Drosophila melanogaster: one gene and its partners. The protein of the gene in region 1 interacts with the protein of each later gene in a pairwise test. Each region holds a gene or a part of one and is shown in the gene's direction. Other genes may lie near its edges. The genes, in order: inv, Mob2, drm and tbrd-3.

Region 1 (7,949 bases):
ATTGCTTGCGTTGTAGGCTTCATGTTTTGATTGTATTTATTTTAGTTTGAGTAACTTTACTGCGAAGCTTTTTGTTGCTCTTGCTTGCCTTCGGTTTCCGTCCATTTCTGATGAAGATTTTCTGCGCGATTAACTAGCGAGATCGCCTTACGCTCCGCGGCGTCTTTTATGTGAAAAGCGTTTCGTGCGCGGCTTTAATCATGTCTCCTCTTCGGATGGAATCTGCAGGTAATGGCTGGGGTGAAGGGGAGCGAACGGGTGAAATCAGTTGGCTTTTCAGACATTTTGAGCAATTGCGCTTAATTTTATTCATAATTCGTGGTCTTGGGTTACCACAGTCAAACTTCTGTAACTCAAACAGCCATTTAGCACATTAAAATTTGGAGCTACGATAGCGGTAAGTCACGCAAACAGTGGTAATGATCAGTACAGTATAATTCGCTTAGCTGCATCGATAGTTAGCTGCATCGGCAAGATATCTGCATTATTTTTCCATTTTTTTGTGTGAATAGAAAATTTGTACGAAAATTCATACGTTTGCTGCATCGCAGATAACAGCCTTTTTAACTTAAGTGCATCATATCAGCTGTTTTTTTTGCCAATTTCAATGAATATCATCAAAGTTAGCTGCGCCATCTATGAATCATTTTTGCATATCTAAAAGATGGCAAGAATGCCAACTCGTTTCAGTATCTGCGCATGTCCGTTTTTGTTTTTGCTTTGATCGTGATTTTTGTGTTTTTGTTTCTTATGACACAAAGTTATTAAAATGGGTAAAACAAAGCGTGTCGTTGGACTAACACTAAAGGAAAAGCTTCAAATAATCGAGTTAGTGACCAACAAAGTGGACAAAAAGGAAATTTGTGCCAAGTTCAAATGCGACAGATCCACAGTCAACCGCATTTTACAAAAAACAAATGAAATTCATGAAGCTGTGGCCGCGTCAGGTTTAAAAAGAAAGCGTCAAAGAAAAGGAGCGCACGACTTAGACAAACAATGCGTAGAAGTTGACATTGTATCGAATATTAATTGGAATGAATATGCCAATGTTGATGCAGATGAGGCTTGCCATGGTCAATTAGATGATGATGAAATCGTGCGCTCTTTAGTTCAAGATGCAAAAACCAGCGATAACGAAGAAAGCCATAGTGATGAAGATGTGGACGATACTGAGCGTCCTACTTTTAAGGATGGGTTTGCAGCAATTAAGGCTTTAAAGTCCATTTTTATGCGAAACAATAATGATGAGTTTTTGCAAAACTTGAATTCTATGGAAGACAAGCTGTTTAATTTACATATAAACTCAGCTGTATTGCAAAAAAAAAATTACTGACTATTTTTAAGTTAGTTTTAAAAAGTGTTTTAATCAATTCACCATCACTTAAATTTATATGTCGATCTTACTTATCATTAAGAATGAAATTATCAGTTCCTTTTATGTTTAACATTGTTATAAAGAAATAAATTCTTTATTTTTCCTTAAAAAAAAAAAATTAAGTTAGCTGCATTTTTAAGTTACCTGCATCGAGGCATTGTGCAAAGTACTCGAGGCAGCTAAGCGAATTATACTGTATTAGGTAATGTTCGGGTCTTTAGGCAAATAAATGGTAAGGGTTAAGTGACAGAAGCTCGACTGTATGAAACTATTTTCTTGTACTCCATTCCTTTTCCTAATCATACTGCGTATAATTGTTTCTTTTGTCGAGGGCTGGAAATTAAGCCTGATTAATTCGTTTGTCGGTGCTTATACTATCGCAGTGTCGGCATCTGGCATTGGCTTCTTTGTAATGGTGCAACAAAGTTATTAAACTGGCTTGGATTGCTTTGCATTTCGGGGCGTGGTTCCACCAATACGATTCGAAGCGATAATAAAGCGCGGACAGCCCGAAAAACTCCATGATTCGGGCTTTATGGGTTCAACAGCAGCGATAAAAAGATCGCTGGAATTCCGATATTTTATGTCCAATCTGTCGGCGATAACGGAGAAAAGGTGCAACTTTGATAGTCGATTTCAGATATGAAATATGATACATTAACCGATTTCGGCTGTGTCACTAAAGAGGTCCGCAGCAAATGATGCAAATGAATGCAGCCATTCCTAGAAATCTTTTCGTGGACTACAACAAAGTTTTCTGATTTAATTAAAAGAGTGATCGGCATGCCCTGCACAACCTCACTTCAAACAAGGCAAACTCGTTTTCACCCCACACATGACACACACAAAAATGTCTCAAATACTTGAAAGGAAAGCTAAATACAGATTTATGAGCACAAAGCACAGCAACAATGCAGTATGTTCGCCAATTAGACAAGCCCAAGCAAACGTATGTCAAATTTTCATTGGCGGGAGAAGGGGCTACTTAAATTGGTCAGGAATGGAGGATAATTTCCATAGTACATGAACGAAGTGACTTAAATTCTAAAAATAATGTCTTATGTAAGTAATCATGAATATCAAAGTTTGATTTTTTTATTGATATCAGATTGATTAGCTTGTGGGACCAAATTTAAATTACAATTATTTTGGCATTACTAAGAGGTCTTTAAATGCCGGACAAGGTGTTCAGTAGAAACCCAGCAAGCTGATCATTATCCCCCCAGTGCTTTTGAATCTACGCCCATGATTAAGCGTATGCAATTGCACACGTATTGGTATTCATTTACGCAGAACTATCATCAATGTTGTCCGATGGGATGTGTGAAGGCAAAACGACAACAAACAATAAAACGGCGACAAAAAAGCATCAAAAGCAATTATGAAATCACGGCAGATGTTGGGGCAACAAAAATTGTGGTGGTGATTTATAAAGCGCAGCTAACAACAACAATGACATCAAAAAGCGCAAAAATGTTCGTTGTATCGGAGCAACAAGAACAATAAGTAAAAGGAAGCGAAGGAGTGAAGGAGACGGGGAAGCTGTGGCATGTGTTGTATATAAACAGGCACACACTCCATATGTGTGTGTGGGTATATAATGCTGGACGGCGGATAGGATGCCAGCAAAAAAGGACTGCAGATGCCAGACCGCAAAGAGGAGCGAAAGAAAGGGGGAGTGAAGTGATGATGATGGAGGAGGAGGGCGAGAGCAGCCTACATAGAGTGAGATTTACGACTTAAATGCTGCAGCGCATAATCAAAACGACAAGGCGCAGATGGAAATGGAGTGGAGTTCTTATCCCTATTTTCCTTCTTTTTCGCTTTTTTCTTTTTGCGGCGACGACGCACTTAATTAACAAATATACAAACACTTAACATAACCTCAACTGACAGGCGGCTGACCGTGTGCGCGAGCGGGACAACAGTAGGGCACGCCCCGCAGCCGCTGATTGGATGTTCGAAAAGCCAGAGCAGGACGGAGAGTGAGAGAGAGCGTGTGCGAGAGAGAGTTCTCTTTTTGAATCGGCTCTCAGCTGCAGCCGTCTCGCTTTGCTATTCAGTTCGCGAGAGAATCAGTTGGTCGGCGGTTCGTAACAGCGCACGTTACGTTTTTAACGGACGAGCGGATTAACGTCGGTATCGACAAGTTTATCACCCAACCCAAAAACCAATTGTCAATCGAAGACGATAGCGCGGCGTATTTGCCAATCCAAGTGATATCTTTTGGCTGTGGTTAATGTTTTTAATGCTTTCTGGCTGCCCTGAAATGCCGTCGGCTTTTGGTCCCTGTGAACTTTCGAGCTGAAGACCTAAGCCCTCAAACTGATGTCCACCTTGGCCAGCACTCGACCGCCCCCGCTCAAGCTGACTATTCCTTCCTTAGAGGAGGCAGAGGACCACGCGCAGGAGAGGAGAGCGGGCGGAGGTGGCCAGGAAGTAGGTAAAATGCATCCGGATTGCTTGCCCTTGCCGCTTGTCCAGCCGGGCAACTCGCCCCAAGTGCGGGAGGAGGAGGAGGACGAGCAGACGGAGTGCGAGGAGCAGCTGAACATAGAGGATGAAGAGGTCGAGGAGGAGCACGATTTGGACCTGGAGGATCCGGCCAGCTGCTGCAGTGAGAATAGTGTCTTGAGTGTGGGCCAGGAACAATCGGAAGCAGCACAGGCTGCGCTATCCGCTCAAGCTCAGGCCAGGCAGAGGCTTTTGATCAGCCAAATCTATCGACCGTCGGCATTCAGCAGCACTGCTACCACTGTTTTGCCGCCCAGCGAAGGTCCGCCCTTCTCACCCGAAGATCTCCTGCAACTGCCTCCCTCCACTGGAACCTTCCAGGAGGAGTTCCTGCGAAAGTCCCAGCTGTACGCCGAGGAGCTGATGAAACAGCAGATGCATCTAATGGCCGCCGCCAGGGTGAACGCTCTCACGGCAGCGGCGGCGGGAAAACAGCTGCAAATGGCAATGGCGGCGGCGGCGGTTGCCACAGTGCCCAGCGGTCAGGATGCACTGGCTCAGCTGACGGCCACGGCATTGGGTCTGGGACCCGGTGGAGCGGTGCATCCCCATCAGCAATTGCTACTGCAAAGGGATCAGGTCCACCACCATCATCACATGCAGAATCACCTGAATAACAATGAAAATCTGCACGAAAGGGCGCTCAAATTCAGCATAGACAATATCCTGAAGGCGGACTTTGGTTCCAGATTGCCCAAGATTGGTGCTTTAAGTGGCAATATCGGTGGTGGCAGTGTAAGTGGGAGCAGTACTGGCAGCAGTAAAAATTCTGGAAATACCAATGGCAACAGATCTCCCCTAAAGGCGCCCAAGAAGTCGGGAAAGCCACTGAATCTGGCTCAAAGTAACGCCGCCGCCAACTCGAGCTTGAGCTTCTCCAGCTCGCTGGCGAATATATGCAGCAACAGCAACGATTCCAATAGCACCGCCACCAGCAGCAGCACGACGAACACCTCGGGGGCACCAGTGGATCTGGTCAAGTCGCCACCGCCAGCGGCAGGAGCGGGTGCCACAGGAGCATCCGGTAAATCGGGCGAGGATTCCGGCACTCCCATCGTTTGGCCAGCGTGGGTCTACTGCACCCGCTACAGCGATCGTCCCAGCTCAGGTGAGTCCAAGTCTCTTTAAAAATTTTGCTTCAGTTATCTAAGTTGTCTAGCGAAACATAAGTACAAATATTGATGAAATAATATTGTATATTTCTACGTTTAACGTACTTTTTATGAACTTTGTGAATGCAAATATAGTTTATGAAATTACGTTTTGGTGTTTTGAATACTAATCTTCATAAGCTTGAAAGAAAAGCCTTTGGTTTCAAGTTTTCTCGTTAACATACGATTCTCCAGCACCATGCCAGTATTATTATAGATATTCTGTAGTAGATCCTGGCAAAATTTATTTACTTGCATATGTTTCTATGGATATTTCCTGCATTTTCTAAAGCATCTTACATCTTATGCTAAAGCAGTGCACTGCTAGTCACTCACTCTTTCTCCAAACTCAAACACACTCGAGGAGACGAGCTGTTGAGTGGTGGCTCATAAAGCGGTTGTGCAAACAAGCGACAGACACCACAGAAGAGCCGGCGAACGGAGCCAAACCACAGCAACCCACAGCTCATTAGTTTGCCAACCACCGAAATGAAGTGAGTGCGAGCGAAAGGGAGGCGAACACTCACCCCGAAGTGAAGTGTCTGCTCGAGTGGTTTTCATGTCCTTATGGCTTATGTAACATAACTTAAGCTCATTATGCCGCTACACCCCACCCACCCCGTGTGTGTTTTTGTGTGTGCAGCACCACCCCAACCCGTCGAGAACAACCCCAAAACAATCTCCCAGCAATCATGGCACTCTCATGAATTTAGTTTATGCCACCGCAGGGAATTCGTAATCGTTTGCCTAATAATTTCATGGCTGAAATTTGGGGGGGAATCGGATGGGTGGGAGTGCCCCATATGCTCATTTATGGGGTGGCTTATTGCTGTTTGAACAAGCAATTCGGATTCCTTGATAGTTTTTGGCTAATCCCCTGGAATCTCGGGTAAGTCCATGGATCATGTGGTTCAAGTGGCGAATGGAGAGTGATTTAAGCCACTTGATGGCAGTCATTTGGTTAAGGTGTTTACCTTTATTAGCTTGCTCAGCTAGTTTATTATCGGTAATGAATTGCCAAAGGTTTACTCAATAGACTGAATGCATTTTATCACAGATACTTGATATTATAACACAATATTAAAACGTTTAAGACCTTACTAAACTTTGGTGTTCAACAGAGTAGTTGACAATAGCATTATTCAATTACAATATCAGCCTTAAATGGGCATATAATTACGAGAGTTACTTTATCTTTAACTAGTTAAATTTAATTGCTTTATTAAGTATCATTGAATGCAATTTGTAAGATTGCCGAGCTCAGCTGTTTAAGCACTTACGACAGTTTTTAGCCAATTATCCACACGTTTTATAGATCTTAATACACCAGCTTGAAGAAAGTAACGTTGAAATATCAGTAAATAATTGTAATTCATCCATCAAAAGTCGTCCCTTCTAACTACCTGATTCCCAATTACACAACTTAGAAGCTTGGCCCAAATAAACTCGGATCCGAATAATTCCTTGGCAATTTACTCATTACGCTGATGGATGTCAAACTCATATTTATTTAGAGAGTTTTGGGGGAGTCTCGTTACTGAATCCCCAAAAAAAAAAAAAAAACGAATACCGAGTGCATAAATCTACGCTTTTGGGTGGGTTTTGTCGCGCTCGCTAATTAACTCGAAACGATTTTGGTTGCTCCCCTCCACACAGGCCGTCTCTTTCGCTCTGCAGTCGCCCGTCTCACTCGCTCCGAGGTTTTAAGGTGTGTTTATTGTTGTGGTGGCTTTTTCATTTTCTCAGTTTCATTTTTAGGTTTTTTTCCAAGCGCTTTTTGTATAAATTTAGCGTGACTAAAACGAGATCTCGATCTCAGTGCGGTTCCATAATTTGAATGAATGTTGTAGGCGATGGCGTCGCTGGTCCTCCGATTCGGAATCATTTTCGGAGTGGCTATATGCGCTATATGGGCTATATGTACGGAGTTGGCTTGTGACTGCAGCTGCTATGGCAAACAATGATTTAGCGTGAGATTTGAGCCAGTCAGCTACAAAATCGGCGAATTAAAATGCCAGCTCGAATAAAAGTCATAAATTTGTTGCTTTTGAAAAATTACTGCTGCCGTTGTCGGGAAAAAATATTCAAAGTTTTTATAATCCACAACAAAGGTGTTAATTTGACAAATTAATGCAACATATTCCGTGTGCGCGTAGGCGATTAAAACAGTTGCCAAAAACGTACATTCGACAACAAATTAGTTAATTGCACTTAACGGCCATTTGTGGGCCACATGATATATGGCTAACATATGGGAAGCTGTCGGACTGCATATGTGCCGTCTATTTGTGCGCCATTTTCGATGCAGATTAATGGCATTGTATTAAAACCACAAAAAGCATTTGATAATCGATACAAGATTGCGTTCAATCTCAATAATTGCCAGGCCATATTTTATGATTTTTATTGGAGCATGAGCCTGAGTGGGAGTGGCTCTATTTACTGCTTTGATGTAGCAATTAATTATGTTAGATCTAAAGGATAAATAAATGTGTACTCAATCCACTGATAAAAAGATGTGGTATGTTTTTTGCTTCGACTTAAACATAAACCGCATTTGTAGAATAGGCCATAATTAACTTATACACAGTGGGCACTTTTTTGTGCCTCCCTTTGGCAAAAACGTAATAACTTATTGAGGAGTATCATTAAAACCTAGCTAAAAAATGGCAAACCCACTATATTTAATTACTGGATACATAGCCTTATTTCAGATAAAAAGTTTATTTCTGTATCTCCCTTAAAAGTGAGTTACAAAATAGTGGGAAAAAATGTGAATGATCAGTCATATGTTTGCCTATTCATTACACATTTGTGTACCCAGCTCCGCCCACAACTGTTTTTACTGACCCAGCTTTTACTTGACTCTTCGGTTCCCTTCTACAAAATAGACATTTCTGCATGGAATG
Region 2 (7,771 bases), on another chromosome or scaffold:
TCCGCTGACCAAGCACTTATTTTTTTTTAAGAGGAAAGATTTTTTATGGTTCTTACTACCATTTAAGTTCAAGCATAGTGTACAAAACGAGCGCCAATTGTTTCATTGCTATTAATTTAACTACCGCTGTGTGTTTATGCGTATGTGTTTTCGTTTATGTGGCGCTCATTCAAATTCATTGTTTTGCCATTTTTTGTGGCTGTTTTTTGTTTTTGCGCATTTCCTAATTTGATGGCAACATCTGACGTCATTGGCATTGCGCATGACCCGCAGAAGCAGCACTAACAACAACAACAACAACAACAATAATAACGGCAGCAACATCAGATACAACAACAGCGCAGTAACTACAGTAACGCTGGCAACAACATCTTGATACGCTTTGTTGTTCCGTCTTATTTATGTGGTGGCGTGACCGACTAAACGGAACTCCCGCCCCCCTGCCCCACCGCCCAGATCGAGACCCCCTTCGTGGGGCCACTCCCCCGCACCAACCCCCTCGAATCGCAGCCCCAAGCGAAACTAGAAACGTATAAGCGAGCTGTAAAAACAACAACAACAACATCGCAGGCACGGCAGCAATAAAAACAAATCACACTAAACTAAGTACACAGATAAAAATAATATGATGAATAACAATTTACAATTTAGAGAAATATTCGTAAACTATTTATTGAATTGCTTGTATCAAACATAATCAATAGAAAAAATTACTTTCTTAACCTTTTTTATTATAAAGGAACTTCTTTAAAAACTTATATTTGCCAAAAATGTAGAACTCAACATTAATTGGGTTTTATTCTTGAAAACGTTTGATACATTTGTTTTCAGTGTAAAGTGTAGTTTGAACAATTGTATTTTCTTTGCATACATATGCAGCTGTGTTGTTTGTTTGTTATTTTTCTCGAGCACCAGGAAACAATCTCCTTAACTCTTTCACTTTGCAATTAAGTAGGGAAGTTGGTTGGGGAGGGGTGGAGTAACAGCAAGTAATCATAAATCAAATATTAAGTTTGATAAGCAGCAACAACCAAGTTGTTTGCCAAGTTAATATTTATATGGAAAATTGAACGTATGGAAGACTAGTGTCTCGGTAAAACTTTGATATAAAATATTCTTTCTGATCAATAAAGAAATCATTAGCATGGCTACGATAAAAGCATCCAGCAATTATGGAAATCAGTGTAAAGAAAGTATATATTTGCCATACTATGCTAACAATAATCATAACCAACATTAAATTATCTACTTCCAGCGTAAATATAAATACAATTTTTGCTTTAAAAGAATATGTTCATTGTTCAATGTACCTAGTACAAATAAGAAAAGTTTACCCTTAGTGCATATGAACTTTTGCGGCACATTGTTTGAACTTTTATAAGCCAATGGAGCAACTCTTTATGTTTTTTTTTTTTGCTTTTTATTGGGAGCAAAAGTATATAACTGAAGGTATAAATGCAACATGGCATTTATATACAAATTGTATTTTAAGGCACTTAAACATGTTATCAAACTGATCGAAACTGTCATCTGACTTCTGAAAGAAGTCAACATGTAATGCCTTAAAATGTCCTATAAAATATTGTATTTAATTGTACCGAATCCTGGTGGTCTCTGTAAACTCTGTTTACTACCATTTTGCATTTTCCTACCTTCTTGCCGCAACATCCGCAATATCCGCAGATCGCGATCGTGTGCCGTTTTTGCTGTCCGACGGCAACAGTCGCTGCCATAAGTAATGGGCACAAAGCAATTCGAGTAATGGCAAATGGCAGCAGTTGAACCGCTAGAAAGCAGCCGAGCGTTACCACCTTTTGGAGCAAGTGAGATGGTTGCTGTGCTGTGTGGGTGGAAAGAGAGGGCCATAGAGTTGGCGGTACGGATCAGATGTTCCATTACACGCTTCGTGTGTGTGTGTGCGCAGCATAGTGTGGATGAAATTTTGATGTGGTGCAAATGAACTTGCCGCCGTTTCGGTTGCATTGCGGGCGGTCACAGGTGCGCGTTCTCTGCTGCCAAGATTCCTTTTCCTCTATCCGCTTCTCACCTTTTCGCCCCAGTCGTATTTGTTCTTGTTTTTCTTCAGCTCGTCAATGGACAGCTGTTTTGAGATACACTCGAAAAAAAGTGTATTAATGCAATTGTCTAGTAAATTTAAAAATATAAAATAAGTTTATGTGGGTTGGTACTGTTGTGTTTTTGTTAATCATTCTTTTTAGTTATTCGCTTAATGAATACCACACATGTCGGTCCAAATTTATCTAAGTGCATTGCGTGTTCCTGTTTTCAACTTTATTTACGCAGAATGACGATGCGTTTATATTATGTTTTCTTATTCGGGTCTAGATTCTGTGTAAGTTAGGCAGCAAATGCAGTTCCTGTGTTCTTCGGTTTTCGTCTACCGCTCCATTCTATTTGATTACTGATTTTATTTCTTCCTGGCCGAAAAAGAGCGTGATAATTACTCCCTGTGGAGAGATTTGATGGTCAGAGGAGTAGCTATTTCATGCGGGCTTGGGGTCACTTCATTGATAAGAACCACGTAGCTGGAGGTCCTTACCATCGAGAATAACAAATTGGAATATATCTTTAATTCTTTATTTTCTGTTTTCCTTTCAGGTGAGTGAAATATCTTGAGCATGAGCTTACCCAAATCCCAGGTAATTTGTTTAAGTCAATTAGAGCAGTCATTTTAACTGAGAAAAAAATTATAACATGCTTAGAGTATTAAACGTATTAAATAAATGTTTAGCGCTTTAACAAAACTCTATGATGTTTTAGTTGAACAGATTGTTATCAAGCCAATTAGTGTTCTTGGTAAAAGTACATAAGTGATGTGATGTTTGCGTCAATTGTACGAAATTGTGTTAGCCATTAAATTTGCCGAATTTATTTCGTTTACCTGTGATCATTAAAACCATGTGTTAATGAATCAACAATGGCAATATATTTATGAGAAATCCATTTAAATGTTTCATACGAACGGTACAATTATCCCTTTTCGTGGAAAATTAATTTCTAATTGTTATTTATAGAGTTTATCCTAGGTTTGTTCAATGCGTTAAAAAAGTAGTAGATTCTGCTACTATTCTACTGCCACTTTGCCGTGTTCTCTTGTTACCGAGCTGTGTGGCAACGCCAGCGCAGTCAGCTGCTGAGCATCAAAACATGAGCGCTCAGCTGATGCGAGAGAGCGTAGAAGAGAGAGGGCTAAAGCCAAAGCAGTCAAACAAGTGGTCGAAAACCGTATAGATGTGCGTGTCTCGCTTGAGTGGCGCATTTGTATGCAAAACACGTACACGGGCAGCTCTCTCCCGCTCAGCTGGTATTTGATACCTCTAGCTCTCTTCCTCGCGCTCGAGCGGAGAGCAAATGTTGCTGGTGTGCGAGACAGCAGCAACATCAGCAGCAACAATAACAACAACAGCAACCACTTCATCTTTACTGTGTGCTCTGCTTTCGTTGCCAGTTTTGTGTTTTTGCTTTTGCTGCCTTTTTTCTCTCCTTACTTGCGTGAGTGTTGATGTTGCCGCTGTGTGTTGCTGTTGTTGCCGCTGTGTATGTGTATGTGTTGCTGTTGCCAGCCGAACGAGCAGCAGTCAGTCAAAGACGGACGGCTTGGCTCAGTGTAGAAATTTCCTTTGGCACGCTTGGTCGCTCGAGCGGTTGCAGGTCGTCGTCAATAGTGGACTGTTGATGTCGCCGCGTCATTATTTGACATTGTTTTTCGAGGCGCCGCCGTCGGTTGCAACCACACATCATCGCGTCGCAGTTAAAAGCAAAACAGCAACTCCAGCAGCAAGCAGCGCAACATTTGCAACATCAATTGCCACCGTGAAATGCTATGCTAGATTGTGAAATAAAATCGCCTACCAATACAAACTAATATCCCGAAAAGGGGAACAAATGTAAGCCGAAAAGGAGTCTGTTCTCCAACAAAAAAAAAAAGAAAGAAAGAAAAGAAGTTCTTCTCTGTGTGTGTGCTAGTGTTTTCCCGTGCTGGTGTGAAACTGTGTCATTCGCTGCGAAAAACTGCATTCAAGTTTTTCCTCAGAGCCGCGACTGCTGGCGTGTTATTGTTGCTGTTGCAGCTAGCTGCCACGGTTTGTTGCTTCACTGATTACGCGCAATGCAGCAACAGCAGCAGCAGCAGAAGCAACAGCAACTAACTGCAGAGGAGCAATAGCAGCTGAGAGTTCAGTTGCGAAACCGGCGAAGCGCGACTGTTGCCAATGCAGCGCTTAGAATTGGCACACCAGCAACAACTGCAACGCTGCAGCAAAGCTGCTACTCCAGCGTCAGCAACAACAACGGTACATTGGGCATTCACAATGTTGCTTGGTGTGCCACTGCCACTGCCACTCCACCACTACTTGTTCCTCCACTGCCATATTGTTTTAACCACTTCCTTTGCCGCAGCGGCAGGAACTTCCTTCCTCACGAGCTTCCTGTCTGTTCGTCCGCTTGTCTGGTTGTCTGCCCTGCAACCCTCAACCCTCCCTTATTAACGCCCCCTCACACTCAACTGCATTGTCAGGTGTTTTCTCTGCCACACAGAAAGAAATGGGGGTATTGTTAGGGTTCATTTGACAGTTTTCACAAGAATTATTTAAAGATAGGTTTTTATGGAATATATCCTTATTCAAACTGCCTTTAAATACCTTCTAAAAATAAAAAGAGTGAAAATCTTAAAATAATGATATATCTTATTGGGCCTAGAGTATTTCCTCTTTTTTCCGTGCACATCCTGGTTGCGTTGTTTCTACTTTTTGTCAACCCCGTTGACGCGCCTACGTGTTCAATACGCTGAGAAAACAACAGTTACGAGTGGCTCAACCAGCAGCTTGTTATTTCTCACACCTTTCGTCCAGACCCCCCGCGCCTTCCTACCACTGCCCCTCGCCAACCCTTTGGGTCCTCAAATGCGCTAGGCCATCCATCGATTTTTTGAGGTCATGCTAAAAATTGCAAAGCCAACTGGAACTAGTTGCGGATTCCCATAGTTGAATTGCCATGGACAATTTGCGGAAGGCAGAGGAAATGAAATTGATTCAAGCCTTTGTGGTGCGATATTATCTAACCGAATTCGATTCGTTTTCTGTGTAGGCCCTTCTGTGTTGCGGATGTTAAGGATTTATGTAAGCTCAGGAACTAATTAGGAAGAAGCACTATGATATTTATCCAAACTAACAATTTTAGTTCGATATATAATGGTATAGAAAAGTATCTATGTACTATTTGCGATTGAACGTTTTGCCCCCGTTATGAAACACTTTTCTCACGGTATTTCCCCATTAAGCAATTCCAGCAAAATCGTATAGATACTAATTTAGTAACTCAGCAATCGCATTTAATCGAATTCATACATATGCATTTCGGTTCTATTGGGACTGTTTTCATTCGACGTGTATCTCAATCGATCGTTTAACCCATATGAAAAGGATAGTCACAGTTATAAACGCTGTCGGATGAATCTCTGGTAACTGGGTTAGTTAGCGACCCGAAAACTTCTCTGCGCCTTTCCGCCGAACCGTTATGCCATATGTATGTATGTATGATGCTCTGCCTGCCCGCCGGTCAGCTCTTCCAGACCAAACCAAACCAAAATGAAGCGAACAGAACAGAACAACCCAAACCAGCTCGAAGATATATATGGATGGGTTTTGTACGGCTTGGCATGGGGTTTGGTGGTGGGGGTACGGAGATACACCTATCTACTATGTATATCATGTCATCCATTGCATGTGCATCGCACATCTCACGTCACCGTACCGCTGCACAGCTTCTATCTCCCTTTCCATATCTGCTGTCGTCTTCCTGCTCGTCGTTTGCCAGTTGTGGAACTCGTTTTCATTTCTTTCGTTAGCAGACATAGACATAATTCTCCAGCTTTTCTAGCGAGCAAAGGGGGTGGGGGTTCATTTTCGGTTTCGGTTTCTATTTTTTTTTTCTCTCTTTCGACTTTGCCAATCGCTCATTTGACCTTTAACGGGTTGTGCTGCATATACATGAAAAGCACACTCAAATCGGCAACAATTAAGCTCATTCAAAACGCGAGCAATGGGCAATCTAAGAAAAAAAAAACACTCGCCGTCGCGTTGCTAGAATCACATCATAAATTTCGGTTTTGATGGGGCGCCAGTTGTTCTGTGTGCGGAGGTGTGAAAACGATACTAGAAGGGGGGCGCACAAAAGACAAAACTCGTTTGGGGGGAAAAGACAACAGAGTCAGCAAATTGGCTTCAATGCGAGTTGAAGGTTAAGTGCGACAGCGACGCGGAAATTGAACATTTTGGATATTGGAATCAGTAGCTGGTTTCGAGCTGAATAAACAAAACAATAGGCATTAACCCCTTTTCTGTCATCTTTCGATTTTTCGTACTTTTTTTTTAGCACGCACTTCAGACCATTTTATTGGCTTCCTAGTATTGTCTGCAAGCAATTAAAAGTTTTTGCTTTAAGCTGCACAAAGAGTTTCATGAGAAATTTGGGATATTAGTTTCGTAAAGTTAAAATTTAAAAGCACAAAAAATATAAAAAATACTAACAGAACGAATTAGTTTTACATTGAAGAAAGAGGATCTTCATATCAATAGAAAATCAAAGATCGAAATGTACAGGGTACCTCTTTTTGCTTATATAATATACCATTTTCAATGATTTCGTATCTACTCAGATATATTATGACAATACTAAGATGGCTAAGATGAATTGCTGCTGCAGTGCGTTTGCAAAATTCGCATTCAAACGAATCTTTAACTATGACAGGGCAAATTTCTGCCCGTTTGGCTTATGTATTTCTGTGTTTTGGGGACTGTTCGATAATTTTTTTTTTTTTGCTTTTATAAATAACCTTAAACGATTTTTCTGCGCCGCCAGGCCACACGAAAAGCGAAAAGTGTCAATGTCAGCTGTTGGTTGTGTTAGCCACGAAAACGCCAAACCGAAGCGAACCAAATCGAAAGCGAGCAAGCGATGTGAAATCGGAAAAATCGAAGACCCGTGCTAAATTTATTATTCAGCTGTCGGCATTGCCATCATAGGCATTTTCCCAACCCGTGTTTGGTTTTCCTCCTCTTTTCCTTTTTTTTTTTTTTTTTTTTTGCCTTTGCCCCGCTTTTCTAGTCCTTTTTTTTGTGCTGGCTGCCACTAAAAGCTTCCCAAAATAAACGCGAATACATGTGTTCATATTTTATACATAACGAGTATATATGTACATACATTCGCACAGTGCAGCGGCTAGTGAAAATTTGCAAAATGTTTCCGTCACACAAAAGGCACTTTATGCCTCCTTCGCTCACCTTTCCCCACTGCAAAACACGCGCCGCTAATTGCACGCGTGTGCAGCCATTTCTGCGAGATTATTTCGAGATACATTTATACACTTGCCACCAGGCCTCCCAAATAATTGCTAGCCGTCAGTTTTTTGGTCTGGCTAAAACTGTGCAGGCAAAAAAACTAAAAAACGAAACCAAACATATCGAGACAAAAGAAAATGTAATTTTTGGGGGCTAAATCGCCACCGAGCAGCTGAAATATCCGTGTTGCAATCGTGTTTTTTTCCATCACGCCCCCGCCCATTTTTTGTTTTTGTTTTTGAGGATTTGTAACAGCCTCGAAAACTCGAGATGATGTTGTATGTGAAGAAGACTCTGCTCCCACAACATTGTCAAAAAGCCATCGCCATCCTCCCCGCTAACCAACATATATCCATTGACCAAACCAGAGGCACCGTGGTCTTTGTGGCTATAAAAATCAATGAAAAATGAAT
Region 3 (7,949 bases), on another chromosome or scaffold:
AATTCACTTAGAATCCAGAGGAAAATGCTGGAAAAGATGTGGGCTGGTAGTTTGTGTAGAATGGGTATTGTGTTCCTAGGAAAATCACGCAATTTACAAGTTTTTAAGCACAAAGGGGTGAGGGAGGTGAGGAATTCCAATTTGAGAACCTAAGAGACATGGGTTGACACCTTTTTCGATCAATTGGTCAGCGATAAGTGTTATGAGAGCCGAGTTACAATGGTCCATTTCAGGGTGGGGATGCATTTATGGGCTTGGGGTCAAGTGGCGGAGTGCTTATATGGTAAATAACCTCTATTGAAATCAATTGACCCATTGAGCGTGAAACCGAATCAAATAAATAAATTGTAAGTATTCGGGGATTAAAACTAAATGGGTTCATCTCGAGGCACAGCTCCTAAGTAAGCTATCAAGCTCGAAATTGATTTAAAAACCTAACGAACAACATCCATTTGAACAATGGATTCCCGCCTGTCTGCCCACTTTAAAAGCTTTTGCCACACACTTTGCCTACTTCTTTATGGCGAATTAATGACCGAAAAAACGAACAAGAATTCCCAATAAACCATAAATTTTATTAATTTCTATAGCGGCTGCCTCACAAAAAAGAGAGCTCCTCGTGCGATTGTGCGACTGTTTTTTATAGCTGAACAATAGGATCGACTCATGGAGTTCTGCAGAAATACTACCGAACCACTGCGAACCGCACCCAATTATAATAAAAAAAAAAAAAAAAACAATGCGTATCTGCGACTATGGGCGAGTGGAAAAACCGCGCCTGCTCCCACAGAAGTGACAACAAAATTAAAATTTACGAAATAAAAATTAAAATTAAATAAAACACCGCTCGGCAAACAGCCAAAAATGAACAATGGACGCGATCTGAAACCGAAAACCGAACGACACGAGAATTAGCATACAAACTGAAGATCGAAGCTGCATATCAAATGAGGATCCGATCAAGTTTTGTTTGGGGCCACCACTTCATTCAGCTGCGGATTCATTGATAGATCGTTCGACGTTCGGTTTCCGCCCCCCGACTAACTGTTAAAATAGACACATCACCCAGCGACTTTACGAGCCAGCGGACCATAATTCAGATTTATGTGAAAACACACCAGTCTGGGCCAAAAAAATAAATCAAGTCACGACTTTGGTGGGGAGCGGATACACTCGAAGAAAATCGTTACAAAGTGCACTTCATTTCCTTTCGCCACGAGGAAAGCCTAGTTGCCCTTAAAAGAAAAAAGTTCTTGTCAAACTACACTTAGTTATTGTTCATATTAACATAAAATCTTGTAAGCTATATTGCCTTTCCCTCAGTGAGATGATACACCCAGTTTCTTAGCACTCGCACACCTTGGAAGAGAACCAGAGTCTTGGAGCTAAATGACAGCCCAGCCAACTACCGTGTGCCAAATGAAGAAATGAAGAGCTTAAGATGGAGGCAAGTCGGGGCCTCGTCATCACCGGAATCATCAGCACCAGCGACATCATCAGCATCATCAGCTTCATCGGCATCATCGTCGCCAACTGTTGACAACGCCTTGCTGCGGTGGCTGCGGTCCAGTTTCATTATTATTAACCAAAAAGTATAAAAACTGAATCCGAAAAAACCCCGACGGATCCCATTCAACGCCCACGTCTTCGACATTTGCCTGCTTCCACAGATTCATCCGTGTATCTTCGCGTATATATTTATTATAATTTTTTGCATCTGCCTTTTCTTAGCTGTAGTCTTTGTTGCCTCCTCCGAAATTTATGTGACCGCATCGCTGCCGTATGAATTTTTAATTTTTCACCAATCTTCATTTTTTTTACTGTTCGATTTTGTTTGCCTTTTTAATATTGGCAATTAATGAAATTTAATACTTTTGTGTGCACTGTCTGGCGCACAAGTTTTGGGTCGTTGGAATTTATGCTGGCCCTAACTTTATTTGTTGTTAGATTGAGAAAGTTGCGAGGTATTTGTCAAAAATTTAGGGGCTTTTTAAGTGACAGATTATTTGAAGATGATAGATGAGTAAAGGATGCGGAAAATCCAAAAAAAAATGACTACATATGGATGTGAAGGTCAAATTATTGTTTGTTTATGATAATAAATACAATAATCTTTGTGAACCAAACAACCTTTCAACATCGAGTGAAATATTGCATCACATTCCTCGCCTCTGAAAACAAAGTCTTCAAAATTGCCAAGTAAGCCAAGTCATTTTTCAGACTCTTCTTTGGAGGGTTCATAATTAGTTTCTCCTTCAAAAGGAAGCTCCTCACAATTGTCGATACGTCTCCTTTTCGAGTTTGCTGATTGGCCATTTAAAATATGCAAATTTGATCCGAAAAACAATAAGACAGATGGACACAGATGGAGTGAAACAAAAGCGAGGCGGACAGAGATGAAGCCATCAAAGTGGAGTTGCCAACGGATTGCACTTAAAAATGCCCAAAAGCAGTCGAAAATAATTTGTTAAGCTTTATGGACAGGCGAAAACTTAATTAAAAACAATCCTTTTCTGGCGCACCTAATTAAAAACACTGGGTGTTAAGTTAATGAAGTTTCTTGCTGAATGAACGACACAGTTTTTCAGATTTCATTGAGAAATCGTAAAAGATAAACAGATATGGTGAGGCACAAAAGATAAACAGACCATCAATATGGTGTTTTTGTAGTATTATTTTTTCGGGTCTAAAGAGGCCACACAAGCAGAAGAGCGACAACAAAGGCGGAGGCGGCAAAGCCAAAGGAAATGCGAGAAAAAAGTTTCTCAGGCCCTGAAAACAAAATGGAGCTCCACAAAAAAAGAAGATAAATACACTAAAAATTGAGCACTGCGTAATACGGTTGCTCTGCTCTGCCACTGGTTTTTATATTTGGCCTCTCGCTCGCTCGCAAAACGGGTTAAGAAGCAGTTAAAAAGGGGGTGAGCGAGCGAGACGGCGCGAAAGAGTGGGACAGACAGAGCGCCGCCCAAAGCCACGCCCACATCTATAAAAATATACACAGGTATAAGTGAAAGAAAGTTACCTTTTTAGCCAAACAGCAGCTAGAAAGACAGAGAAGAAGTCCGAGGAAATCCAAAGAAATCGCAAGCTTATTACAGCCCGCATTATCCAGCACACCTTTCACTCATTAGTCGCCTAAACTTAATTGAAATGTTGGCTTACTTAAGCTTAATTAACAGTCAACTCAGGTAACGCCTTCGAAACCACTCAACTCAGGTAGCCTTCTCTCGCTCGCTCACTCTCCAGTTTTCTCAGTTCGCTCTTTAGCTCATTTTCCTCCGACCAATCAGCTGAAACACTCAAAACTCGTTCTCCGCGACCCAAACAGTGCGTGGGAAAGGGACAGCCAACCGAGAGAGGGCTGTAAAAAAGAGGGTAACCAAAAAAAGGAAAACAGAAAAAGTTCAACCCATCAAGCTGAAGTTTTCGATCGTAACTTTGCAGTTGACTCTCGCGCACAGAAGCGTTCGGAAGTGAAATATATTTTATTAATAATATTACCCAACACAGTGCTACCAAACAGAAATTGCATACAATTTGTGTCTTGCCAAATAGCAAACGGAATTTCGTGCTTTCGCAATAGGTAAGTGACGCCATTTTGTGACTTTTACGCTTGGCTTCCGTTAGAAGAGACGCCATTTTGTGGCTTCCGTTTGCCAGCTTCTGTACTTACGCATAAGAACTTAGGGCGAGCGAAAGGGATGGCTAGCGAGCGCTGCGCATGAGCAGTAGCTTCGGCTACCGGTCTTCGTTTTGCTTCGTTTCTCTTCGGATGACTCACACACACTTACACACACTCACACAGTGCCACCGAATTGAGTAACAGACAGGGACAGAGCGATGATCTCGCTTCCTCAACTTGCCAGCAGCGACGCCGGCAGCGACGCCGACAGAGGACGGCGGCAGAGGCGACTACTATTTCTTTCAGTTATTAGTAGCATTCATTCATTCAACTTTGTGCCGCTCGAGCGTGCGTATATAGTTCCCTCTCATCAGTAACAGTATCAGTAACAACATCAGTAACATTTCCTTCGCGAGTACCTTCAAAAGAGATACAAATCGATCTATCCATTCAGCGGACATACGAAAATCGCACAAAACTCAGCTATAGAAATCGGTTAGCCTCTACTCGAGTCCGAAGAACGCGTAACTCCAGTGCATCCCATTGGGTAAGTCTTTCTTCAGCTCCTCTCTTCAATGGCGTTCTTCGTGTTCTTCTGTTCGTCGTTCTTCCCCCTTCCACACTTGTTTCGCTACCAGTTTTACGCCGCTTTCATTGGACAACTGAAAACTGAGCAAAGAAAAGAAGAAGTAAACCCCACACGTAACACGGGTGCGTGTATCGGCCTCTCTTTCTGCCCGGGCCTCTCACTTCGGCTCTTTAGTGTGCCAGAGGGAGAGGGGCGATGCGTCTAATATGGCATGCGTGTGGCCAACGGAGCTTTTCGGCCTCTGTGTGCGTGAGAAAGTGTCGCCATTTGCCAAAATGGCGGACGCCAAGTCCGAATATTTCCCTATTGGACTGTAAAAAGTTTTTACCCGCACTTCTTGACACGAATTCCCCAAAATGGGTGATCTACTTGAAATACAACCGAGTTTATTGATCTCTCATTGTATAGTACAAATGTGTTATTAATTTCCGAAATGAATGAAGAAGAAATAATTTGTATCTCATAAAAAAATGCTCATTAATTTTCGAAAAGAAAACTATTTAATATTATTTTCTATTAAAGTTGGTCTAAAAAAACATTTGAGCTCTCTTCAGAACAAATATAAGTTTTTATTGTATCCTAAACTTTCAACCTGTTCTATTTTTAAAGGTTTCAGTCGTTTTCCATTGAAATTGTCTAGGAATTGAAAACTCTTAAAGCCGTCGGCATTTTTTCAGATTGAAAGAATAGAAGCTGAGAAGTTTAATGAGTCAGCATTAAGAACAAAAAGCCTAGTTTGTCGAAGGTTGATCGCGGACGCACAAAACACGGCAAATCATCGCCAAGAATGTTTGGCATATCATCATCAGCCGTTTTGGTACAAGTTATTTGCCTATGAGTCATGGAGTTGTGCTTTTTTCATTGGATTATGAAATACCAATGAGTACGGCTCAAGCTAACAACAGATGTTCAAAAAGTTGCGTCAAAGTCAGGTACTTTGAAATACCTGAGATTTGGCACTTGTGCGAAAATTCCAATGAATCTGGTGCGAAATCGCAGAAATCAGAACCCATATTCTAGGGGAACTTTCTGGAAGTAGGACTAACATTTACAATATAGGGAAATTCGTTTAACATAGTTATACTGAAGTAAAGTTGTTGTAAGAGTTTCGTGACCTCTGAAATTCTTACTGCTTTCCCGCGACCATTTCTTTCCCGTCTGTCTGATCTTTGACCTCGTCTGGACCTCCCGCTGCGCTCCATCAATTAGAGTCTAATTAGCTAAGCGATTACGGTAAATGGGCTCAGCTGGCAGCTAATCTGCGCCGACTTTTGAGCAACTGTCATATCTTACGGGCTGAAGGTGAGAAGCGTCCGAAATCGACTTGCTTCGGCCACGAAATTCCCATCCGATTTGCGATGGATCTAGGGAAGATCGCTCATACCTTGCCGCATTGTATCTTTGTATCTTGTGGTGTGTTTGTGTTTGGGGTTACGAAGGTATTCCTTTGTTCGCACTGAAGTGGCAGTGCCACACATCCTAATTGTTTCCACCGACTTATTGGTTCTGTTGTCAGGCCAGGATCTCGTGTGTGTGGGTGTTTTTCCCGGGAATTCTGCGCCATTAGCACAATTAGATTCGTATCAAATGGACTTCGGTGCCTTTGTCTTCAGAGCCTTATGTCCTTTTATTGTCATTTTTTCTCGCTTCGGTTTCTTCTTTTCACTTTTCGGTTGTAATTTTTAATGGCACCTTGCCAACTCACTGTCCGCCTCCTACAAAAAATAAAGGGATGACCACGGTGCGAGGTGAAAGAAGTGTGGTAATCGCTTTCGACCATATCCCACGTCCTGCGACGTGTGTGTCACTGCTTTGAGCCCTTTTTTTGGACCCAGTTTTGAGCCTGTTATCGCCCATACCGCTACACATTTATCTCGGGGTGTTAAACTGTAACTCTCGAGGCGGCTCGAGTTTCGTGGAAGCCCCCGACGCACTTACTTCTCTTACCAGAGATCTGGCCATATATAATCTCACTCTCTGTTTGCAGTTTGCCATTTTATTTCTCTTTCCCATCGCTGCAAATCTAATTTCACGCAGCATTAACGCCTTTCGCATGCCCTTCACACGGAAACCCAAAGTCCAGAGTCAGGATCATGCTGTGCTGAAGATCTCCCAGAGATCTCCAGATTTTCAGATCTTCACATCTCAACCTTCCTGTCCGAAACTATGTGTGTGTGCACAACACTAATAATTTTCAGTGCGGATTAATGGGATTATCTTTGAGTTGGACAACAGTTTATTATACAATATTTGGGCAGTTTTCCCTCCGTCTCTGTGGGTGTTCGTTTTTCGCATAAGCGGATTGTAATGTCCAGTTGCAAAATACTAACAGTTGGAGACCGTTTAAAGTCCCGGATCGGAGAAGGTGCCAAGTTAAGCCCGTTTGGATTTGCCATGACTTTGCACAGGTTTTTAGATGGATTCGGATGATTGTTTTGCTTGGATTTTCAACGGATTAAAAGGATATACCAACTTGATCAAAAGATTAGGATTATAACTGTAGGAAGATGCTTTACCTTTCAGTTTTGCTGAGTTAATATAATGAGATTGACTTTACCAATATGGATAGACCATGTGCCATTGGACACCTTTATTATTGGAATGCCCCAGGCCAGCTAACTTAACCTTCCAAATTGATGGGCTCACTCAATTGTCAGCTCGAATTTCACTGTTCTCGAAGGTCTCCCCCGCCCATTTTGCCCCATCCCCAGACTGAAGACAATTCCATCGTCATTCGACGCATCCAGCAAATGGCCAAATAGAGTGCTTAACCCCGGAGAGCAACCCGTGGCTAATGGTGCTCCACTTAGGCCCACGCTCCCAGAGACAAACTTAATACAAGTCCACGTCCAAATGCGAGTCCGAGTCCAAATCCAAAGCAAAGCATGGCCAAATGCGAGACCGATCGAGGCGGAGAGACCCGGACCCAAAGAATCCATATCGAATGGATGGCCTTATGCAGGCGCCCTGTGTCGCATGATTAACGGCGTTAAAATGCCAATGTGACGCCACATTGTGTACACAAATTAACATTGGAGGAGTCTCTTTTGGCCAGGCCTTTGAGCCGATCTTAGCCGAGTCCCAGTCTCCCACCAGACATGACCAATGCGATCAGCGACCCAGGCCCGAACCCGTGCACCTCACCCACTGGGCGAAAGCGGGGTATCAAAGTGTTTGAAAGTTGCTTTCATTATTATTTACTTGCTTTCATTATTATCTTTAAAATAACATCTTAAAAATATAGATCATATGACCTTCCAGCATTGTTCCACGCGGTTACTTTTTACTTTTTAGTACGAGAAGACGTTTTTTTTCTGAGTGCAGGACTTGAGCGCGGCTCAGTGTTATAATTTGAATATGTTTAGTGGGCATTAATGTTATAATGACAATAACTACGTACCGTCTGCGGCCGGTGCAGCACCCGCTGTGACGTTTGCCTTTTGTTGTCAACGTTAGCTCCCCGACCGCCGATCACCAAAGCGAACCCGTTTCCACATCCATTCCCATTCCCATTCCGATGCCCAATCCCAATCCCATTCCGAATCCGAATCTCGATTCCCATTGCCAGTCCCGGTCGCAGTCGCAGTCCCAAAAGTGTTCCAGCTGCGAGCTGAAAGCACCATAACATATAAATAAATATCGAAATCGGGTCTTGCCGAGACGCTTGTCGCTACCAGTCAGCGCTGGCTTTTGTTTCGCGCAGAAAAATTCCCGAATACGCCGGGCGAAACAAAA
Region 4 (6,350 bases), about 12 Mb from region 1:
CACGTTCATGAAATAAAGATATTTAAACTAGAGTTCAAGTTCAATGGTTTCTTCAATAGCTGATCAAGTGATTCCCAACTTTGTTTTGTTAATTTGTAGCCAATACTCAGAAAACGGTAAATGAATGGACTCTTATTGCTGCATTAGCTAAATTGAATTCGGGCGGTGCATAAGTAAATGCTATTAAGATACAATCGCGTACATACCTATAGGTATATATTTACACACATATATATCATATGCATGGCAGTATAAATCAACTGCGGCACAGCCATTCCACCGAAATGCGAAATCCGACTGCTGACAAGTGTCACCGGGAGATGCTATGACAAAGTGTCAAAAGAATGTTTGACATCTGACTGGCTGTCGCCGTCTCTTTCGCTCGAATAGCCCCCTCTCCATCGCTGTGCCGTGCGAGGGCAGCGTGTGTAGCCTGTCCAAATGTACATTTCTCATATCTCCTCGGCGTCCTCGTCTGCTGGTTCTTCCCTTCTTTCCATTTCTGCAGGGCTTTCATATTGCCGCCCTTTTTTTTATATTTATCCATATATTGCCCGGTTCCAATGGGATGCGGGATGGCCAGGTAGGGATTCGTTCGCAGGTGCGAGGCAAGTGGGTTTGGGGGAAAGGGATGTGCTTGCCACTGACAGCCTCACACGTTTCCTTTGCGTCCCCCTGGCGATCCTTTTAGCACCTGGCCCAGTCTCTGGGTGTATAATTTCATCTGCCAACTGATTGAGTGTCGCAGTTTTACTTATGTGAAAAACGAACAAGATTTTTATCTGGAAATCGGCAATAGAGAGCGGAATGTTTGCCGTGAAATGCGAAGTAAAGTTCTGCCCCGCTGACATATCGACAAGATCAAAGGGAATCGTGTGCTAAGGGCTCTCAGCTACACATATGCATAAAAATATCACTCATATCAATTTATTCTAGGTCTAGATGCCTCCAAAGCGAATGATCTTGCGAAAAAGTGGATATATGACAGATATAGGGTATAACTTTATCTATATTGTTATTTGGTATTTTTGATTATATATATTTTAAATATACTTTGAAGATTAATCTCTTTTTCTTTCGGTTTCGCAAACTCTATGTGTAAAGTCTCCAAACTTGGGGTTGAAGGTCAACATCCGAACCAGATGATGCCCAGAGGTGAATCCCCATTCGCAAGTGGGTCAGTGGAGTGCAATCCCAATTGACCCATTCGCAGGACCATTCCCCCAAAGGCCCAACAGCAGACTGAAGAGGCGCCCCAAGATGTGGCCAAGACCTGGTCCGATTGCCACCCAATTTGCAACATTTTGTGGCAGGTAAGTTAACAGCGAGAAAATGAAGGTCTCCGTAAATCGGTTGCTCTCAGTTGTGGATCGCAAGCTAACAGAGGGAGAGAGCCACAGGAACAGGATTTCCCCTCATGCCTGTGGAAGCCAACTTAACAGAGTGACTTTAAACAGGATTTCGATTTAACTTTTGTAAACCCAACTTGTTGACTGCCCAAATGAAAGCCCTGCAAATATTTGCCCAAAAATGATGTATATTGTGTGTCCTAACAAAACTTTTATGCTAACGAAATATTTCGGCACTCTAAAATAGCAAACGTCAGCGGTTGACCATAAATATTTTCGCCCCCACAGCTCGATGGGGATTTTAAATACGTTTACCGAAAAAAGGACTGTTTGTACGGGTCTCGGAATTAGATTAACCATCATAGCTTCAGGATTGAGGCAGAGCATTCCCACAAAGGACCGCACTCCCACACAAAATGTATGGAAATACTTTCCTGGCCGGAGCCACTTGCATAATTAACTGAATTTGTTTGTTGCCCCAAACCGCATTTGTGGATTGACTTTTCTGCTCGGATTGAGGTGGCAATCCTAAAAGTTTTCATAAGCTAAAAATATCATCGTACAGGGCAACCCGGAGTGTGAATATTGTCAGTTGTATTGCGTTCAAGTTGTCAAAACGATAGAAATTATAATAGAATTTTCCGATAGTCGATATCGAAGATATTTTTCTGAAATGGCTGCAAAACAAGAAACTGAACGGTCCTCGCCGGAAATTAATGCCTGCAAGGTGATTATTAAAAGGTTGTTTTCCAGTACCTATAAGAATATTGCTTGGGTTTTCTACGAGCCACTGGATCCGCAACTGCTGGGCCTCCACGATTACCATGAGATTGTCCGGGAACCCATGGATCTGTCCACCGTGAGGCATCGTTTGAATACGGGTTGCTATCTCAGTGCCGCGGATTTCGCCAAAGACATAAGGCTGATTTTCTACAACACCTATCTGTACACGAATCCCGATCACCTGTGCTACCACATGGCCAAACAGCTGCAGATCATCTTTGAGGAGATGTACTCCCAGGTGCAGCTCTACATCTGCTCCAGCGGCAGTAAAGTGCGTGCCGAGGAAGAGAGCTCCTCGGATGAATCGGACTCATCATCGCCGGAGGACGAGGTGAACGGCTCGGAGGTGTCCCCCTCCATAATGGGTGCGCCCCCCTCATGTACTCCAACCACCGAATGTACTCCGACCCCCGATTGGACTCCGCCGGCAACTTTGGAAACTTCGGAGCAGCAGGAGCCCTTTACAACCGAGGAGGACCTTGATCTGCACGCCAAGATTCAGCAGCTGGACGGCGAGGTGCTGCTCCACGTCATCCATTTCATTCAACGCATGGAGGGCGCCGAGTACTGCAACAAGGAGCTGGAGTTCGACATCTGCAAACTGAAGGTGCACACCAAACGCGGCATCCGTGATTATTTGGCCAGCAAGGGGTTCACCGGCAAAAGAGTGGCCCGCACCAAGCCCAAATATAATTGAGTTTCAGATTGAAAAAGAGTTTTAATTTATTGTAATCTAGTCCTTTTTGCCCAAAAGCTTCTCCTGCTCCTTTCTCTTGTCGCGCATGGAGCGGTAGTTCCGGAAATCCCCATTCCACGTCTTGTTACGCATGATCTCCAGCGGATTGGAAGCTATGTAAGCGAAAAAGGTCTTCCGAGGAGGTCCTCCGGGCACCAGATAGTTGCCCATGGCGTACCAGGCGGAGCTCACGATGCTTAGGTAGCGGGCATTCAACTGATCGTGATATGTTTGCTTAGCCAGGGCAGCCTGAAAAATATAGTTTTAGTATAGTAAAATATATGTACATATATATATATATATATACCGTATTCTTAATCTGCTTATAGAAGTTAAAGTTCTCCTTGGATCTGGGCAGGCGATCAATGCCCATAAGATCGGGACTGGCGGGACTGCTCTGGAGGATGGTGACCAGCTCGAATATCCTGCTCGACTCGGCTATACTCTCCTCGAGCTCCTTCTGGCTGTAGGTTTTGCCGTACCTCCTCTTGACCCACTCCCGCAGCACTGGCAGCTTGTGGGCGTCTGGCAGACAGGCCAGCACATAGCGGGGCTCCTTCCTGAGTACTCGCATGCCATCCTTTAGCAACTTGTCCATCTGGGCGGCATCGTTCGGATCGAATGATTCCGTATCCTTATGGGTCAGTGCCTTGCGCGGCGTCATTCTGCCCATGCGCTCCATCTCGGCCCGCTTTATTAGGGTACGCTTCTGCCAAACCGCCTTGGCACATCTCACTACTGCATCCACGATCTCCGCCTTGTAGTTCACATGGCTGCGACCACTGTGGTTGCTCGAACGATCCAAGGTCTCTCGACTGTCGGAGATTCTAGTCTGATCCAGGTCACTAAAGATTTCCAACGGGGGCTGGCTGTCCTGCTTCGATTTCTTCTCCGGCTCGGTTTCGGGAAGGCCTTCAGACTTGGAATCCGGAGGCGCCTCGTCCTCAATCACCATCTCCGACAAAAGCTCCCTAAAGTAACACGGATCGGCTTCGTCCCCATCCGACTGATCCAGCGCCTTCACAAAAGACTTGGCCATAATATGACTGAGATCAAAGGGTTTCGGTTGGCCGGATTGGAAGACCCGATGGTATTTGAACTGGTACGGCTTGTTCGAACGGGGTCCCCGGAAGAACCTAGTTTTCACATGCCTGTTATTGGGCATGCGCATATCGCACTTGTGTGCATTCCCTTCGATCTTTCCCTTGGCCAGGATAAAAGATACGGCCGACTTTTTGGGAGCCGGAGGAAGCTCGCACTCCGAAGGACCAACTACTTGCGTACACACCTGTGTGTACTCGTTGAAGTCGATGTTGTGGATACGGAAGGGGCCGCTAACGAGTTTGCGAGGCGGTGGCTTCCAGGGCGATACCTTCGGCTTCTTCGGATTTTCTGGTTCCGGTTCCACTACTTTAGCCTTTTTCTCCTTTTTCCCCTTCTTGTCTTTTTTCTTCAATACAGAAAGATTGTAATGAAAGTTAATCTATTTGGTAATTTTCCACTCACCGGCTTTCCTCCACCACCCTTTAGCCTCTTTCCGCGGCCCTTTTCTGCAGGCGGTTGGGGTACTGTGGAATCCTTAATTTTGTTCAATAGAAAAATAAAAGTGGGTATGGAAAATGTAAATATATTTGGTAATTTCAAACATACCGTCTTCTCTGCACCTCCCTCCAGCCTTTTTCCGCGACAAGTATCGATTCCACTGGTACGGGCTACTGTGCCATCCTTTTTTTTCTTTAATTGGATATTAGGTATAGAATGTATGTATTTGATAATTCTCAACTTACCGGCTTTTCCGCACCACCCTCCAGCCTTTTTCCGCGGTAAGTATCGAATGCAGTAGTATGAGCCACGGTACAATCCTCGCCCACCAGAGCCCGACCAATCTGACCCTTGGTTTCCGGCCAGGGTTGCGATACCAGCATCTGCTGGCACAGCACGCAGTCAAAATTCTCGATGGTCAGCACCTTGGTCTGGTCGCAGTGCATCGCGTTTCGGTGGCGGGCCATTATTACGTCGATGTCGTGCTCCAACTGGGCCACGATTCTGGCCTTTCGAAGCTTGGCGTATGGCTCGTTCACATCGAGGAGTTCCAGGCAGCGATCCCTCGCCTTGACCGCCAGTTCATCCCTCAGGAGCTGGGCCTGCAACACCTGACCCTTGTGCACCAAGCACATGTTGGCTTCGGGCTCCCGACTTTGTTGGGTTTCCTCCGCATCCTGCTTCCCCTCAACTGCTGCCAATTTAAAGTAACGCTCCAGGGTCTCGGAGAGGGTTTTCTTGATCAGTCGCTGGCCGGGATTCAGTCGGTACAGCGCATACCAAGGCTCCTCTTCCTCAGTGCCATATTCGGGCGGTCCATTGGTGGGCCAAAAGTTGAATGACACGACAAACTCGGGAATCTTCGCTGTCAGACGGGAGGTCCTTTGAACCGGCTTCGGTTGCCTTAGAAAGTAGGGCGACTTCTTGGAGGGTTTCTTTTGTGGACGCTCCGTGGTCAGGGAAGCTAACGATTGAGTTTGAGGATCCGGTTTTTTGACCGGAGGCTGGGGCAGCACAATGTCCAGAGCACGAATGGTGGGCAACATGTCGATCTTGGCAATGGCATTCATTAGCAGCTGCTCATTAATGCTGTAAACGCCATCCGTTTGTTTCGTCTTGTAGTAGCCCTCCATCACAAAGAACAGGAAGGCCAGTATGTTGTTCCTGCTCAACTGCACGATCCGGCTGATCTTCTTTTTGGATATCACCGGCTGGAGGCCCAGGGATATCAGTGCCTTGAACATCTTTTCCCCTGTTCCCTGCTCGAAGTCATCCCGGAGGCTCTCGGACATTGTGGACATCGTGGCCTCCTGTTTCGCCGAGATTCCCATATACCACTTGGCCAGGTCCAAGTTCCTGGTGTACTCATCCAGCTTATTCTGGAAACTCATGGCTATTCACTATGTGGCGGAATTTTTTACTCTATAATTTTATTTTCTAGAAAATTGTTAATAAAAAAAAAAAAACAGGATCTTAGTCAGACATGTGGTCACAAAAAACTGGATTTCGTGTGGAGCTTTATAACTAATATTGATGTCAAAGGTAGATATGATTGAATAATTTGTTGAATTTATTTTTCGATTTTAAATGGAATAAAATCAAAGCGATTCTATATAACCTGTAATTGTTTTAATCCTATTAAATCCCCATTCTGCATTAAAATGTGGATGTAGCTATATCTTTTATCTGGTTTATGTTTATTTAAAGTGTTTTTCTGAAAACTAGCGAAGTATGCCTTGTAAACAAAGAACAACAACAACCATTTCGATGTTTTACTGAAAAAATTGTGTGTGCTGGGTGCCTAGAATCCTATTTGAACGTTGTTCGATGATTTCTTGTCCGGAATTGCTATTCAAATCCTGTGATTCAGGACGATGGACTACAGAGCGATGAATGAATCCTGCCAATGTCCACGGTGTCGGTATGAACTTCGTTTGCCC

The links.
Region 2: the proteins of inv (region 1) and Mob2 interact in a two-hybrid assay, tested with the Drosophila melanogaster proteins (one large-scale study listed by BioGRID).
Region 3: the proteins of inv (region 1) and drm interact in a two-hybrid assay, tested with the Drosophila melanogaster proteins (one large-scale study listed by BioGRID).
Region 4: the proteins of inv (region 1) and tbrd-3 interact in a two-hybrid assay, tested with the Drosophila melanogaster proteins (one large-scale study listed by BioGRID).

The regions. Positions count from the first base shown.
Region 1 is NT_033778.4:11,472,273-11,480,221, forward strand, and holds the start of inv (invected), read left to right. Parts: upstream 1-3,435; 5' UTR 3,436-3,703; coding exon 3,704-4,997; intron 4,998-7,949. UniProt on the Drosophila melanogaster protein: Engrailed (en) and invected (inv) are functionally redundant transcription factors in neuronal precursor cell NB5-3 specification.
Region 2 is NT_037436.4:11,548,967-11,556,737, reverse strand, and holds the start of Mob2 (Mob2), read left to right. Parts: upstream 1-3,625; 5' UTR 3,626-3,908; intron 3,909-4,044; exon of another isoform or gene 4,045-4,199; intron 4,200-7,771. UniProt on the Drosophila melanogaster protein: Required for the normal morphogenesis of a variety of polarized outgrowths including epidermal hairs, bristles, arista laterals, and dendrites.
Region 3 is NT_033779.5:3,535,806-3,543,754, forward strand, and holds the start of drm (drumstick), read left to right. Parts: upstream 1-3,927; 5' UTR 3,928-4,172; intron 4,173-7,949. UniProt on the Drosophila melanogaster protein: Putative transcription factor. May function redundantly with odd and sob in leg joint formation during the larval stages, acting downstream of Notch activation.
Region 4 is NT_033778.4:23,323,229-23,329,578, reverse strand, and holds tbrd-3 (testis-specifically expressed bromodomain containing protein-3), read left to right. Parts: upstream 1-1,997; 5' UTR 1,998-2,022; coding exon 2,023-2,829; 3' UTR 2,830-2,840; downstream 2,841-6,350. Other genes in the region: CG9861 (uncharacterized protein), read right to left, coding at 2,866-3,117, 3,176-4,318, 4,375-4,446, 4,519-4,602, 4,656-5,801; CG30416 (uncharacterized protein), read left to right, coding at 6,285-6,350.